3 linked regions of the Arabidopsis thaliana genome follow. The protein of the gene in region 1 interacts with the protein of each later gene in a pairwise test. Each region holds a gene or a part of one and is shown in the gene's direction. Other genes may lie near its edges.

Region 1 (6,448 bases):
GTAGGTTTCTGGATAACAAAGGAATCTGTCCTTTTCTAAGTTTCTTTAGGTGCATTCACAAATTACAAACATGTTTTATATATTTTTTAAAAATCAGTAACAAACAAGTAGATATCAATTAGCATGTAGATTCAAAATATAGTGAATTAGTGATTATATACGCTAGCATTAAGTAGATGGTGATAAGATAATGATACAAAGATATGAATTAAAAGAAGAAAAAAAAAACACCTAAAGAAGTGAATATAATAGGCATATACATATGAGGAAAATGAAAACAAAAGGAGCGAAAAATAGATTTAACCTAAAAGAGGAAGTAAAGAGGTTATAAGAGGTAAGAAAAGTAGGACCATATAATAGCTATATTGTAGAATTTTATTATTTGGAGATATGGCAATTTTTGTGAGGGTCCCATGAAGACTAAAGTGTGGAGCACGATTTATCTTTGTAATTAATAAAATAATAAATATATTATTATTGTCTCGGGATTTTTCGATTGATGAGAAAAAGTAAGAGGTGCGTTTTCGAATTATCATTGGCTAACGTTTGTACGTGACTGTACGGACGACGTTGATGTATTTCTAATATTGTACTCTTTTTTCCCACCCTTATTTCTCTAATTCTTGTACATTAACCCCAAACTAATTTTACAAACACATTGGTGTTTAATCATTGTGAAATTTTGATTTATCTAAAATACACTTTATATGTTATGATTTTGCATGAGCTTATGACTGGTAAACTCATGAGATTTCCATATCACCATGTTGGAAGTTACTAACCATACATCTTTTAAATGCAAATTCACATCATTCCTAGACTGCTAGACAGACATGTACTTACTTATACAAGGTTTTTCTAATCTAATGGCAACAAAGAAACTTGTGACTAAACGCATACGTATCTCTCATATAGTGTAGACTAGAACTCTACGTATCTCTCATATAGTCATATTTTTAAAAAAATTATACTTTGGGATCTCGAAGCGAAAATTAGATTAGTTTATATGATTATGTACAAAAAAAATCGGATATTACTACCACTTAAAAATAATTGTAGTGGTCAATCATATCTAAAATTAATCGCAGTGAACAAAAACCTGAAGCATAGCCTGGTTCTATCTTACTTTCGATGTGACACATTACTAACACGATTGTTTTAATCTATAGGACGAATCCTTTAAGTAATGTATAGTTGGTTCAGTTACGTTAGATACTTTTTGTTTTGGATTTGTCTCAACCAGTTAAGAAGTGATCGTATTTACTAGTGGTATACGATGATGTTTCTTTAAATCTGAATTGGGTCTACAAAATACATAACTAAACTTCAAACCGGGTTTATACTTTATACAAACACGAAAATATAAAGATAGAGACAATTCACCAGAGAAGATGTGTATTTATATAAAAATTATCCATACAGATTTTCGGACCTATCTGTTTGATATTTAATATATATAAATACGTTAACATATTTCACCAGAGAAGATGTGTATTTTTCGAAATAATTAGTTTGTGTGGTCCTCCTCCCGATATAGATAAAAGATCATTAGATATCGATTAACAATTTTATCTCCAAAAAAGGATATTTTTTTGGTGCCACTAGCTAGACAAGACGTTCGATAAGCTGAATTATTATTGGATTTCTAAGTTACGTTTTCTTTAGTAATCCGAGGGACCAAAAATAGCAAATGCCTCTTTAGACACGTCGCTACTTAACGCCATTGCCCCATTGTCTCTGTACTAGCCTCCAAATATTTGGATTAATGGTCACTTAGGTAATGAGGAAATTGTAGTATTTTGTAATGTGGTTTTGTCCAACTTATAAAAACTTACAATTGCAAGTAATTAATTATTCACATGGAGATGTAAGATTATGTCATATAACTAAAAACACAATTTAAGAACAACAATAAGAAACAATGGACAAACAAGCATAGAAAATATACAAATCAAATGAATTTTATCTGTTGGGATGGAAAGATATTATAAAAATTGATTAAAACCAATATAGTTGTATTACTCACAGGTAAGAAAAAACGATATTCTTATTTTTCATATCAATTACAAGTGGGGGCATATAGGTACGAGAGAGTGTTTGTGTCCACATTAAAAACAAAAAAAGATTTTTGTTAGAAGAAATTTAATAAAAATAATTTGACAGGCATTTCCATCCAACTAGATATTTATGGGAGGGAAAAAGATGTGTATGTAAAAATGTCCATATGTATCAAAATATGCTATTTTTGGTCTTTCTTAAGGCTTTTTTCCAAAATAAGTAAAGGATGAGGTTTCAAGCGTCCATCATATTTGCGACACATATGACTGACTATTTAGCTCCTCCCTCTTTCTTTCTCTTATTTTATTATCTTTCTCCAAGAAATAAAATAGAAAAGAAAATATATATGGTTTCACAAACACCATTACCATAACTACAACGAGAAGAGGATCTTTTTTAAGGAGAAAAGCAGAGAGAGAAGAGACGAGTGTGTGAAGTTTTTTTGTCTTTTGTTTCTTTTATTACACACAAATAGATGAAACGAGGAAAGCTACTTCTTTTGCTACTTCCATAAAAAGGTTCTTCCTTTCGCAGAGAATCAACTTTGATCATCTTCTTCCTTCTCTTTCTTTCTTCTTCTCCCTCCAGTAATGCTTATATAGTCTCCTCCTATATCTCTACCTATACATACACAAACCCTTTATCCTCGAAAGCTTCCTCCTGGTTAGGTTTTTATCAAACCCTTTTAGCCAATCGGTAAGATCTCTTCGTCATGATCTTTTCTTTTTTCTTTTGCTTTGTACTCTGATGGATCTATAAACTTATATGGGTTTGGTTTCATTTGGTTCGATTTGATGTGTTTGGTTTCTTTGTCCTAAATCTCATGAAAGGAGGTTGCATCCTTCAATTAAACCGATAACAAAAGTTTCCATTACAGACTTATAGATCAGATACTTTAGATTGTTTTGCTTTTTGGGTACTTAATCTTTCGTTGACTTCATCAGTCTTCTCCCACCCAAACAAAAAAGTCATATTTCGATCATATCTTCATTTTTTTAACCTACTCTCTTTGATTCATATATGAAATGGGTTGTTTTATGTGTGTGACTAATCTTGTTATTGAGGTGGTTGCACCATTGATCTACCGTTTTCTTCAATTTTTGAAAAAATAATTTTATTTTTTTTCTGTGTGCAAGGGAAATTAACTAAAGAAGAAGATATGGTGAGGGGCAAAACTCAGATGAAGAGAATAGAGAATGCAACAAGCAGACAAGTGACTTTCTCCAAAAGAAGGAATGGTTTGTTGAAGAAAGCCTTTGAGCTCTCAGTGCTTTGTGATGCTGAAGTTTCTCTTATCATCTTCTCTCCTAAAGGCAAACTTTATGAATTCGCCAGCTCCAAGTACGTTCTTTTTGTCTTTCTTACAAATCATCCATAGAAAGAGAGAGAGAGAGAGATCTCATTAACCTCTCTATTTGTATCTTAATTTTTTTTGGTTTATATATGGATTTGATTGGCCTTTTGTGGAATCACATCTCTTTGACGTTTGCTTTGAGAGGTGTGTTTAAATGAGTTTCTTGGTTTCTGCAAAATTAGGGCTATTATTAAAGTAGTATCAAGTACATATACCCTCTTATTTATTGTTTTTTTATTTCCGCTAGTATATCATCTTGTTTAATCATCTGTCTCTCTCTTTCTCAATTAGTTTCTCAAGTTATGATATAAATAAAATGTGCTCTTTCGTAGCCAATTTACACTTGTTATATATTTGATCTTCTTAGAGATCATGATCACATAGTATTAATAAAACAACTTTCAATTAGTATTCTTTTGGTTTGAACTAATCTTTGTCTTGTTATTGCTTTAAGCAAAACATGTTGTTCTAATTTCTAAGTGATGATTAGGAAGTTGTTTCATCATTCCTGATTTATTAATCCCTCATGCTTCATTTCATGCTCATTCCTAATTTAGTTCAATTTGTTTGAATATTTGTTCCTGATTTTGACATAGAAACTCAAAGCTAGCTAGCCAAACCTAAATGTTGATTGTTTTTGAGAATCAAAAGAGTTTTATCTTGTACTGTTAGGTAGTAGGGAAACCAAACTTACTTTTGATGAATCATTACTTCTGTAAATGAAAATGCCAGCTTTTGATCAGATGTTTCAGACATTTGGTCCATTTGGGAAAGTACTTCTTTCTCTCGAACCTACTAAATATAAAGATAAGACCTCACATGTTTTTGATTTTCTAAAATAGGGGGAAAAAGTACAAGACTTTTCAAGCTATGTCCTTGATTAAGTCTAGTGATATCTTCAATAAGAAATGTTTTGAGAACACCATTGGGATCTAAATTTGATCTCTGATGATTTACTTTAATGTTCCAATTATATATGTTTTTGACAGTATGCAAGATACCATAGATCGTTATCTGAGGCATACTAAGGATCGAGTCAGCACCAAACCGGTTTCTGAAGAAAATATGCAGGTTTATTCTTTATGATCTTCTTGCCTATATATCAATTCTTGCTAATTAATACTTTTACTATATAATATCAAAGAGCGGTAATGAATATAACCACAATATGTATATAATCTCAAGGTCACAGGATCAAGTCACATATTTATAATTAGGATATATATGTACATGCAATAACATTTCTGTGATATAACCAACAGCATTTGAAATATGAAGCAGCAAACATGATGAAGAAAATTGAACAACTCGAAGCTTCTAAACGGTTTGTGATATATACATATATACAAACACATTATTCATCACTTGTATATATCTATTTCATGATGCATAGGAGAGTTTGATCAATTAGTGTTTTGTTTTTGTAATCAGTAAACTCTTGGGAGAAGGCATAGGAACATGCTCAATCGAGGAGCTGCAACAGATTGAGCAACAGCTTGAGAAAAGTGTCAAATGTATTCGAGCAAGAAAGGTATGTGTATATATTTATCTGTTATATCTCCACATTATAAGTATTGTTCGAATCATCTTCTGAAACCACTCATAATTATAACTCAATTTCTCATCTCTTTTAGACTCAAGTGTTTAAGGAACAAATTGAGCAGCTCAAGCAAAAGGTAAAGTAGTTTTTATGAGTGTATATAAACAGATATAAGTATGTATGCAAATTGTGTAATATTCCAAGTAAGTAAGCCTCTTGTGCTTGCTTTTTACAAATTGGAATCTAAAACTTTTGCAGGAGAAAGCTCTAGCTGCAGAAAACGAGAAGCTCTCTGAAAAGGTATAATATATTCTTATGGGTCTCAAGTTAGGGTTGCACATTCGTTTTTTTATTCGGTAAAGATAAGAAAGTTGGGGTTCTTTTTGGGGGTTATTAGGTTAGGAGAGTCCTTACTAGTTTTTCTTGGTTATCTTCAATCATCAACCTTCTTTAATTTATGTATTGTTCTATATATCTTCTAATTTGCATCTATTAATTTTGTGTAATAATTCTATTTGAATGCAGTGGGGATCTCATGAAAGCGAAGTTTGGTCAAATAAGAATCAAGAAAGTACTGGAAGAGGTGATGAAGAGAGTAGCCCAAGTTCTGAAGTAGAGACGCAATTGTTCATTGGGTTACCTTGTTCTTCAAGAAAGTGATCTCCACTCAACAAAAAAAACAAAAAAACAAACTAAGTAAAAACAGGTTTAGCAGTACTGAGAGTGTATAAGGACAAGTAACAAAACTCTAAAGCTGCTTCTCTCTTGTTGTCTTATTTCTCTCTCACTCTCTCTCTCTCAGTCACTTCTTTAATGATTCTGAACTGCTTGTGTTATGTATCTATGTTCTTACACTTGCCTCTCTAGAATGTAATTTTGATTATGTTTTGTTTTCATGTATCAATTTAGCTTTCTTCCCTCAAAATCATAAAATCAGGAATATCTGTACTATATAACTTACTGGTTTCTCAAGTCGAGAGACTAGAGGTCTAGAACTTCCCAAACTGGTAAAAAAATATAAAGAAAATTATGAGAGCACATTAAACATTATCCATTGGCCAAAAATCAATAACTGCATCATTTCAGATGAAGAGCTGATACACGACAACGGTGGCAACTCTACAATACAAAGATCGGTCTAGTAGCATGTGTGACTGTCTTGGAAGAAGTTGCGTCCCCCCCAAGCAAGTTCAAAAGATCACCGGGAGAGGAGATTTAGGGCATAAATCCAAATGTTGTAGAGGCTTTTAGCCCATCAAAGAAAAAAAAAACATTATACGCATAATCCAATATTTCAAATCGTTTAGAATCTTTAGATAATAGAGATACATGATTGTGATATGACATGTGCCGTTAACATTTATATGGGCCCATGAATTTATTTTGTAATGGCCCACTTATAAAAGGGCCTACTTTGCGATAACAGCCCATAAATATAAGAGAGTATTAAAAACTTAAATTCTAGTATGTAAAAAAAAAAAAAAAACCTCAATAAA
Region 2 (4,457 bases), on another chromosome or scaffold:
CTATCTTCTCACAACACTCTGAAACTCCTTCAAGCCACATCAATGCTTAGCTTCTTTTTTTAATCTTGTTTTTCCAAAAGCTTTAGAGTTGTATCATGTTTTGCTTGAGATTACCCTGTATCTGCTCTGTATTATTAGGTAACGTAGACCAACCAAAGTATTTACTTAAGTACTTGTATTGTATCAATCTAATTCTACATCGCCACACAATGAAACAGTGTTTTTTTTTGTTTTGAAACAAGAGTTCATTGTACTAGGAAAGTTTCTGGACCAATCTTCAGTAAGAATCAAATAAAACTCAGAGCAACTTAAATTATAATGTGTATGGAGGAGATTAGATGGAAGCTGAATAACTAACATATACTGCACCAAATCAAAAGCAGTTTTCGAATTTTAAAGGCTCAAACACTCATTGGGCCGATGTATGGGCCAAATACACAAGTAACTAACATATACATACTTGTGTTTGCTATGGTACCCAATGATTCATGTCATTTGTTTTCACAAACTTTTAACTCTTTTTTTTTCCTCTAAGCCGATTGAAACAAATTGGGTCCATTGCATAATTTACCTAAAGCTAAGCTGATATTGAATATTAGTTTCTTCCATCAAATGTCAATTGTTTATAATTCATCCCCCGACAAAACTAAATGGGCCGATTCTTAGGCCCATATTAGGTGGTCACTCCGGTTGTGCTAAAAATTGTTCAGAGAAGTCAAAGTCTCCAGATTGATGTCAATTGTCAACACTCTACAAGATCACTCCTTTCCATGGAGTTCAACTAGAAGAGCTTTTCGATCAATTTCACCAAATCAGAAACAATTTCGAATTTTTAACACTCCTTGGGCCGATTAATGGGCCAAATGATAGGTCACTCCAGGCCTTTCCCAAACCCTATAGTCCTCCTCGGCTATAAATAGCAAGTGGAGTAGAGCGACTTTGCTCACTCAGTTTCCTTCCAAAAGAAAGAGAAAGAGCATCGTTTTGAGCAAATGAGTAGGAACATGGAAGTTAACGCAGGCAGTTCCGGCGAAATTCCGTCTCCAAGTAAAGTTTTCATCTTTCACTGTCATTTCTTATAAAAATCAAACCTTTATAGTTTACACGTCAAATCTCTCTTTCTAATAACGAATTTGTGTTTGTTTTATCTTATGTATGTACAGTAAGGAACCGATTTCAGAAAAGTGGGAGTCAAGCGGTGTACGAGGTGACAGAGACGAAGAAATCTTGCGTGACGAGAGTCGACATGCCTGGTTGTCCCGAGTCAGATCTCACCTACTGGGTCGACGCCAACAACGTCCACTTCTTCGCCGACGAACCAGCAATGCCTGAGTACGAAAACGCCGGACGCAAATACGGAGGCTCCATGATTTTCAACCCTGAGGCTTACGACGTCAAGAAAACTAAAGTGAAGCTTATCAACGGAGTGCTCTGGATCACCGTCCCTAAGATCCCAGGCAAAAACGCTTCCATTAATGTCAAGGAGAGGATCCTCCATTACTGATTTAACAACACCTTGGTTTGTGTCTCGTAATGGTACTTGTGTCTAGCGTCTCTATCTATCTATGAACTTTGATGCAGCTACTGCTTTATGTTTATCATTTTGTGGTTTAGTTAAGAACGATCTTGCTTCTATATGTCGTGATCTCAATAAAGAAAAAGTTGTCAGCTTTCTTTGTTCTATTTAATCTTACATTAACCTAGCTATTCGATAAGACTATATAGATCTTTGCCATTATTAAACCGGATTACGAGTATGTAACCTGGACATGTTAATAGATATATGTTGTTGTAAGTAGGGATCAAACTTTTTAATAGCGTTGTCGTAATAATTGGATAAACACTAAACGACGGTTGAAACCTTATTTGATCTTTGATGAAAAAAAAAAAGATAATTGAGAGCTCATAATTTTTTTACTCTTGAAGATTGCTGACGTCAGCGTCGTCTTGTCAAAAATGTTTGAAAATTAATGAAGAGTGAAGAGTGTGGGTACGGTTTTACTTTTGCAGTCATTTTTGTCGTACATAATTACATATAAACGAAAGGAGTAAAAAAAGCGTGGGATAGCTCACAGAGCTGGTGACGTCAGCTTATTCTCTACCGTAAAAAAAATCAAAAGAGTAAAAGCAAGTTTTTTTTCTTACCGAGAGAGAGAGTCGGTGACGTAGGCAAGACCAGTCAAACTTATGCTATGAAGGTTAAAAAAAAGCCAGCTGGAGCGTGCCACGTCACAGTCTGTACCACAAGATGGTGCTTCGTCTATATTTATCAACAGGAGAACAAAACGCCATTTTTACGCAACCTACCTTGAACTAGAAGAGAAGAGAGAGCAAAAAACAAAGAGAGAGATGGGTGAGACAAAGGCAGATTTCAGGGACATGTCAAGAATTCCTAAAGTTCGAGGTATCTCTTTTCACGAGCTACTAGATTTCCCAAGAACAACATTGTTCTAATTTTTCTCGGAAAATATGTGTTTTTTCTAGAAAGTTGTCTCAATTTGTTTACTTGTGAAGTGTTAACATGAACTTGGTACAAAGATTTACAGTTTTTTTACTGTGCATGATTCATGAAAATGAAGCAGATCGAGTTAGTTCCATCTTTGATAAGTGTCTTCCTTTGTTCTCTGTATACTTTTCTTCATCAAGTTTTGATCTTTGTTTACTTATTATTATTACAGAGGGGTTCTACGCGACGAACAATCAGTTTCAGAAAGCGGGTCCAAAGGGTTTCGTTCAAGTGAAGGTTCTGGAGAACGACAATCTCTACGTGCGTGTCGACTTGCCTGGTGTTCCAGACGACGCCGTTCGCTACAGAGTTGACGCCGTGAGACAAAAGGTTGTCTTTTTCTCCGGTGAAACTCTGAACAACGGCAAGGAAGGTGTGCGTCAGTACTCTGGAACCGCTGGGCTTGGCTGTGACTGCTGCGAGATCACAGGCGTGGATGCCAAAATGAAAGATGGAGTTTTGAGGATGATTCTCACAAGGGTCAAGGTTGTGAGCAAGGCTCAAGACAACAACAACAACAAGTGTACTCTCACTGTGCCTCCTTTTACAGGTTCGACTCATTCCTCTTCTCTAAAGTCACAATCTCTTTTGCTGCATCATTTGTTGTTAATACAGTACTCTCTGTTCTTTATTAAGGTCAATCCGGAATACGCTTGGAGGATCATCCGTGTCTGGTGTCTGGTCGCAAGGGAGCACTAATTGGGGTGACAAAAGCGGGAGGAGGGGCTCACTTTGCAGTGGACATGCCAGGTGTTAGTCCGGATGATGTGGAAGTGTATGCTGATGAAAAGGAAATCAGATTCAAAGCTGAGATCAAGGACGTGTATGAACACGATGAGAGCGGTCGAACCTACCTCGGAAGCGTCCAAAGTCCTTTTCCCGCTTTAATTTCGAACAACACCATCGCTTGGGATGCAGAATTTGGTGTTCTCAGGATTGCTGTCATACCTCCTGACGACATGACCACCATCAACAACAAAAGAAACCCTATTGAATGAATGATCTCTCTACCTCTCTTTTAGCTAGTACTCTACTATATTTTCATTTTGGGACATTGACTAGTTTTCTCTGTTTAAGTTGAGACATTGTGTGTGTGAGAGAGATTAGTCCTGCTTTTGTGTTTGCTATCGAATCAAGTGATTCATGTCATTTGTTTTCACAATCTTAACTCTTTTGTTCCCCTAAGCTGAATTCAAAAACAAACAAACTGGATCCCTCGAATAACCTGATTGGTGATGATGATTGCTCAAAACCCCCTAAAGCTGATTCCATGGAATGTCAATTGTTTATAGATCCTAGGACATTTGATCTGTCACTCAACAGTGCCTAATTCCTCAATTGAATCGAAATGGTCATGAAAGGAGTGTGATCATTTTATCAGACAAGTCAAAGTTTCTACTCTTCATCATTATTAACACATCCAGTAACAAAACTAATTGGGCCGATTATTAGGCCCATGATAGGTGGATCACTCCAGGCCTTTTCCAAACTCCACGAAAGCAGGCAGAAACACTTTCTTCCCGTGAGTTTTTCCCGGTTGATCTGCGATTCAACAGTGTCTATCCGAAATTTAGTTGAAATGGTCATAGAAGAGTGTAGTAGAAAGGTTGGAATTTGTGCTCAAAATCGGTCAGAGAAGTCAAAGTTTGCTACTTTTCCAGTCTCTAGAATGATGTCAACAAGATCACTCATTTCCATGGAGTCAACTTGAAGAAGAGCTTTTTCGATCAAATCCTTGAATTCGATTGATGGGTATCCTCGGCTGCGACGCCCATGGCGATTTGAACGATGCAGAGTTCAGCAAACCCTTACCTTCGATTGGTATCTACGTTGCCGTAGCTTCACTCATCTGTGGTCTAGCCATGGCCGCCGATCTTATACACGGCTTCCGACACCGCAAATTCTGGTTTCCCTGTAAGTTCTTCTCTCTCAACGCCACTTCTCTGACTTT
Region 3 (5,879 bases), on another chromosome or scaffold:
ATTGATGTGCAAAACTTCTTCCTTGTATCAGGTTGGTCTGGACTACGACGAGTCTGTTGTGATAAGAGTAACCGGTTGTCCAAACGGCTGTGCAAGACCGTACATGGCTGAGCTCGGTCTAGTCGGGGATGGTCCCAACAGCTATCAGGTACGGTTGGAGCACAAGCTCTTGTTACTAGTGATGAGACAGTATAGTAGTAAGCAAGCAGGCTAATATTCTGAGTTGTTGTCGGTTGTGCAGGTTTGGCTAGGAGGAACACCGAACCTGACCCAGATAGCGAGAAGTTTCATGGATAAGGTTAAGGTTCACGACTTAGAGAAAGTCTGCGAGCCATTGTTCTATCACTGGAAACTAGAGAGGCAAACTAAAGAATCATTTGGAGAATACACAACCCGCATGGTAAGTATCACATATAACTTCTCTTTAACTCTCTCACTGTGGCTTGAACATTTATATTGAAGAAGAAGAAAAAACAAATGACTGTGTTTTTTAACTTTAACAATGGTAAAATTGCAGGGATTCGAGAAACTGAAGGAGCTGATAGATACATACAAAGGAGTTTCTCAATGAGCACAACAGAGATCATCTTTCGTTTTATAATTCATGTAATGTAATGTCTCTGTCTGAACTGTTACTCTTCGGTAACTCTGATGGAGAACTTGTTCTCGTTTTGGTTTGATTTTGTACCCTCTTTTTTTTTTTTGTTTTTTTGGATTGCTTTGTCTTTGATTGGATAATGAAGCATTACTGTATCAAGGCTAATTAGCCCATCAATAAGCCTTTTTAAAGCTCTGGATATGGAAAAGTCAGAACCTCTCTCTCTTATCTCTCTAAATTTTAGAGAGAGAGAGATTTTGTTCGATGTTTTGCATGCTTTACCAGCTTATGAATCCGGATGTGATCCGGTTTTGTCGATCTATCTCGCTGTCCTATCTCGCCGTCCGGTGTATCCGGTGTTGTTTACGGCTATCCCGTTGCCGTTCTGTTTGTTTCACCGAATTGATTTGGGAAACAATTTGATATCAGTTTTTTCTTCTTTTCTAACTGGAAATTTTCATGGCCTTCTCTCGATCCGTTCCACCACCATCCACAATCAGGTAAGTGTTTTGGTGTTTCGATTGGGCGACTGTTTTAGTCTCATCCACATGAATCAATATCCAGATTTGGGCGAATTCTGGGTTGCTTGACTCCTTCCAACCGTTATAGTTGAAACGGTCCGGCGTTTTTGACGGCTTCAATCACCTCATTTGAGGTCCGTCTTGCCATTCCAGGAAGTCAAGATATCAATTTCCGAAGTCTATTCTTATTAGCAAGTGATGACAAGAGATCAGAAGCTTCACCTCGTGGTTGATTGTTTGCTGACAACTTCTTTCATGCTTTTGTTCTCGGAAAAGATCCAGTGATGAGAAGAGAAAGAATTTGAAGATTAAATTGAATCTTTTATCTTTTTCGGTTTAATAGTTGTTTGTTTTTATAATCCGGAGATGTTTCCGGTTGTTCACTCGCCGGAAATTGTGCCGGCTTCTGTCTGCATATTTTGCTGAAGGGGTTGTGGGTACCGGTTTACTAGGTTATCCGGTTCACCCGGTTTGTAAGATTGGTTTAATGAATAAAAATCCCTTATGAGAAAAAAAAAAAAGCTCTGGATATCATTTGATTACTCCTCTTTCTAAGATGGCTTCTTATGCTTTTTCTTTCTGTTGTTGCTCAGTTGCTCTGTTTAAATATGGACTGTTTTTTTAACCCACAAGTAAAACATTTTGAGAAATTTACACACCACTGTAATTTTTTAATGTCCACAATTATTTAAAAAAACATATTCACACATAAAAAACAGAATGGACGGGAGGGGTATAACTGGAAATTTTTTCACATCGATTAAATTGGTTGAAAACCTAATCGCCTTAAACCCTAATTGTATCATCCTCTTCCTTGCGTTCTCTCTTTCTCTCTCTCGCCGACGACGAAAACATGGGTGCCAAGGCGAAGAAAGCTTTGAAGAAGAACATGAAGAAGGTTGCTGCTTCGGCTTCTTCTTCTCAGCTACCTCTTCCCCAGAACCCGAAACCTTCAGCTGATTTTTTGGTATTTCCTTCGATACTTTCTCTTACTACCACCATTGTTTCGATTTCGTATCAGACTCTTTAGGGTTTTACATTGAATCTCTCTGTATGGGTTTTTGTTGATAGCCACTAGAAGGAGGTCCAGCTCGAAAAGCTCCAGTTACCACCCCACCTCTTCAGAATAAAGCTACTGTGCTATACATCGGTAGAATCCCTCATGGCTTCTATGAGACTGAGATTGAAGGTATAAATTTACACCCTTTATTATTGTGTTTGCTCAATTTAATGCCCTTTGTTGTCACAAACTTGCTAATATGAATAAACCTTTTTATTATCTATCTATGGTTTATGTGTTTGATAATCTGGTTTTCCTTTCTGGGTTATAGCTTTCTTCTCGCAGTTTGGAACAGTTAAGAGAGTTAGAGTCGCCAGAAACAAAAAGGTTATACATTGATTGATACTTTATTTTGTTTGCTCTTGTTTGATACGATGTGCTCTTTCTTAACTCTTTGAATTTGTATTCGTCTTAACAGACTGGGAAATCAAAGCATTTTGGGTTCATACAGTTTGAGGACCCTGAGGTATACTTTAGATTCTGTATAAAATTGGTGAAACCGTTGTGTGCTATATATATACTCTAGATTCAATTCTTGACATTTTTATTTGGTTCTCTGCAGGTGGCGGAAATTGCAGCGGGTGCAATGAATGATTATTTGTTGATGGAGCACATGCTTAAAGTCCATGTCATTGAACCAGAGAATGTTAAACCCAATCTGTGAGTGATTTTAATCGACTTTTTTTCGTAGTGATCAGGGATCTTCTTTGCAAATAGTTAGTTGGCATATCTAATTGTGTAGGTTAGCTATTTTACTTGGCTGCTTATGTACTTTGTGCTATATTGTTGAATGAAAGAGCTCTATATAACAATATACTATCTCGTGTGGTTTAGCGCAAGCTTTGAAGTACAATGTTCTATGGTTTACAGAGTGAGACTTAATGACATTTGAGTCATAGGATGATACTAGATAGGATGTGATAAAATAAGTGAGGATAAAAGAGAGTTTATTGAAAGATCGTTTTCTTGGCTGAGATGGTTTTATTTATGAGTCATAAAATTAGGGTAAAGAAAATGTGATTCTTGTCCCCTACCTTGGTTTCTAATGACTCCATACTCTAAAAGATGTGCGAGACTCTCTAGTGTTTCCAGAAGAGAACATGCATGACCTATTTTGAGAATTGTTCTTTTCAAGTAGTTGTGGATCTTAATGTATCTATGTCCTGAATGTTATAGGTGGAGAGGGTTTAAATGTAACTTCAAACCAGTGGATTCGGTTCAGATTGAGCGAAGACAACTTAATAAGGTTATTCTCTCCACTTTTCTTGTTATCAATATGCCATTTCTCTTGAACAAGTGGCTCTAACTTTGATTTATGTCACTGTTGTATACAGGAAAGGACATTGGAAGAGCATAGGAAAATGTTGCAGAAGATAGTTAAAAAGGATCAGAAAAGGAGGAAGAGAATCGAAGCCGCTGGAATAGAATACGAATGCCCTGAGCTTGTAAGTTTCCGATTACACAATTCTATACACTACATCTTCAACATTGAACTAATAACTGCATGTTTTGTGTCACTGCTTCAGGTTGGAAACACACAGCCAGTCCCGAAGAGGATCAAGTTTAGTGAAGAAGACTAAAAGCTGAAGCTGAACAACACTTTTCCGATAACCTTTTTTGAATAGAAATCTGTTCTGTTGTACTCTTGATATTGGATCAATAACTAAACTTTAAAGTTTGCAATGAAAACTTCTGTTTCAATGATTCAGATTTTCTGTATAGCATCAAGATACTTTCCCGAGACAGCGGGTGTTAGATTCTCTCTGTTGAAACCGCTCTTTCTAGGTGCAACGGTTGCGATGAGAACAAAATTCTCACCATTTCCTACATCGATCTCATACAACTCGGCAAAGACATGTCTAAACTGGTCTTGAAGCTCTTGGTAAAATGTCTTGTTCGGAGGAATGACATTGATAATGAAAACCCCAGAAGGAACAAGAACAGTTCTTGCAGCTAGCAACACATCTTTAGCCACAAACTCAACCGGAGGAGCAGTCATGCCGTGAATTGGATCAGTAGAGTCCAGATCAACCATCAAGACATCAAATCTGGCATCATCATCACAGCTTTTAGAAAGTCTCTTTAAGAACTCAATACCATCTTCAACGTGAACACGAGCTAAGCTTTCCTCTAACCCGAAGTATTGCCTTGCAATCCTCAAGACTTCAGGATCTATCTCTACGCCTGTAACTTCGAACCCTAACTGTAGCCTTAAGAAACTTAGCAATCCACCACCTCCAACCCCAATGCACAATGCCTTTGGTTTAGATTTGAGATGATCATATACATCAGAACCAATCAAGCTAAGACTTGCCACCATTGGTGCCAAGTAAGGATGCACAAGTTCCGTAAGATCAAGCTTGAACTCTGTTCCCATTAATGGCAGAGAAGGATTCGAACAACTTCTGGGAATGATTTTAATGGCAGATTGAACTAAATTTGGCATTCTCTTAAACCTCAATCTCCTCCTAAATTCTCTAACTCCATCATCGATCTCAATCTCTACATCTTCAATTAACATTTCACCAACGAAAGGCCCGACGCATTTTTCAATCTCTACACTGGAGACAACATTATCATCGTAAATCAGAAAAGGCACATCGTCGATTTCTTCTCGTGTTAGGGTTTTAGGTAACAAAGCTACCACAAGAGGTTTCAATCTTATCTCGAGTTTCTCAGATTCGTCGTCTTCGCCGTTCGGTCGGTGATAAACCGCAGGTAAATCAGAGTCAGTATCGTGATCATCACCGATCAAGATCAATCGAGAGATTTCTGGCATGTTAAGGAGAAGCTGTAATTGACCGGACTCAGTGGAGAAGATCCAATCGGATTCTCGGTGCTTGGGGACGAGAATGGCGGCGACTCGGGGAGGAGAAGACTCAGTGGAATGAACAGGCGAGTCGAGGACGGCGACGCGGAGGAGATGAATCGGAGAATTAGGGTTAGGGATAGTGAAAGAGATGAAACGAGAAGGAGAGGTTTTCTCGAAGATTCTCACATCAAGCGCCATTTCCTTGATTTTGATTTCACCATCATCCATCTTCGTCTTTTTATGATGCTGCTTACAGTTAACCGTAATAAAACCAAACCAGAAATAAACCGATAAAACCGGAATAAACCAAACCAGAACAAACCGATCATGTGACTTTCACGTGTTTCAACTCCGAAATTTTCAATTTTTCATTTACTCATCTTCTTCTTCTTCGTCCTGGGCTTTTCATCTCCAGGCCTCTCTCATTTCCTTCTCTGAGTCTACAAACATGTAGAAGCAGGTGTTTTAATTACGTCATAGCAGTAGGAGAAGAGGCTTTAAGTCCTCTTCTTTCTCTAGCTACCGAACCACTTTTTAAAATTCGCCCAAATCACAATTCTGTTTGCACTTAGAATGGCGGATCATTCGTGGGATAAAACTGTGGAAGAAGCAGTGAATGTGCTTGAATCCAGGCAAATTCTTCGATCTTTGAGGCCCATTTGCATGTCTAGGCAAAACGAAGAAGAAATAGTGAAAAGCAGAGCCAATGGAGGAGACGGGTACGAGGTGTTCGACGGTTTGTGTCAATGGGATCGGACTTCAGTTGAGGTGTCTGTCTCGATTCCTACATTTCAGAAATGGCTTCACGATGAACCCAGCAACGGTACGTTTCATTTCTTTCCTGATATTTTTTTTTGCCGAGAGTTTCGGAGTTTCCAAAGTTTGGTG

What was found. Proteins that work in one complex are often made in the same cells at the same time.
Region 2: the proteins of AGL20 (region 1) and AT5G47590 interact in a two-hybrid assay, tested with the Arabidopsis thaliana proteins (one large-scale study listed by BioGRID).
Region 3: the proteins of AGL20 (region 1) and AT5G04600 interact in a two-hybrid assay, tested with the Arabidopsis thaliana proteins (one large-scale study listed by BioGRID).

The regions. Positions count from the first base shown.
Region 1 is NC_003071.7:18,806,963-18,813,410, reverse strand, and holds AGL20 (AGAMOUS-like 20), read left to right. Parts: upstream 1-2,285; 5' UTR 2,286-2,754; intron 2,755-3,194; 5' UTR 3,195-3,217; coding exon 3,218-3,399; intron 3,400-4,401; coding exon 4,402-4,483; intron 4,484-4,674; coding exon 4,675-4,736; intron 4,737-4,843; coding exon 4,844-4,943; intron 4,944-5,046; coding exon 5,047-5,088; coding exon of another isoform or gene 5,089-5,097; exon of another isoform or gene 5,098-5,210; coding exon 5,211-5,252; intron 5,253-5,477; coding exon 5,478-5,612; 3' UTR 5,613-5,906; downstream 5,907-6,448. UniProt on the Arabidopsis thaliana protein: Transcription activator active in flowering time control. May integrate signals from the photoperiod, vernalization and autonomous floral induction pathways. Can modulate class B and C homeotic genes expression.
Region 2 is NC_003076.8:19,296,992-19,301,448, reverse strand, and holds AT5G47590 (Heat shock protein HSP20/alpha crystallin family), read left to right. Parts: upstream 1-2,274; 5' UTR 2,275-2,349; coding exon 2,350-2,404; intron 2,405-2,678; coding exon 2,679-3,056; coding exon of another isoform or gene 3,057-3,142; coding exon 3,143-3,504; 3' UTR 3,505-3,835; downstream 3,836-4,457. Other genes in the region: AT5G47610 (RING/U-box superfamily protein), read left to right, coding at 1-50; AT5G47600 (HSP20-like chaperones superfamily protein), read left to right, coding at 993-1,047, 1,164-1,504; ASG7 (uncharacterized protein), read left to right, coding at 4,255-4,457.
Region 3 is NC_003076.8:1,321,728-1,327,606, forward strand, and holds AT5G04600 (RNA-binding (RRM/RBD/RNP motifs) family protein), read left to right. Parts: upstream 1-1,846; 5' UTR 1,847-1,972; coding exon 1,973-2,086; intron 2,087-2,190; coding exon 2,191-2,308; intron 2,309-2,450; coding exon 2,451-2,506; intron 2,507-2,597; coding exon 2,598-2,645; intron 2,646-2,741; coding exon 2,742-2,839; intron 2,840-3,355; coding exon 3,356-3,425; intron 3,426-3,513; coding exon 3,514-3,624; intron 3,625-3,705; coding exon 3,706-3,759; 3' UTR 3,760-3,884; coding exon of another isoform or gene 3,885-5,189; 3' UTR 5,190-5,257; downstream 5,258-5,879. Other genes in the region: SIR (sulfite reductase), read left to right, coding at 32-148, 242-400, 518-571; AT5G04610 (S-adenosyl-L-methionine-dependent methyltransferases superfamily protein), read right to left, coding at 3,885-5,189; BIOF (biotin F), read left to right, coding at 5,565-5,814.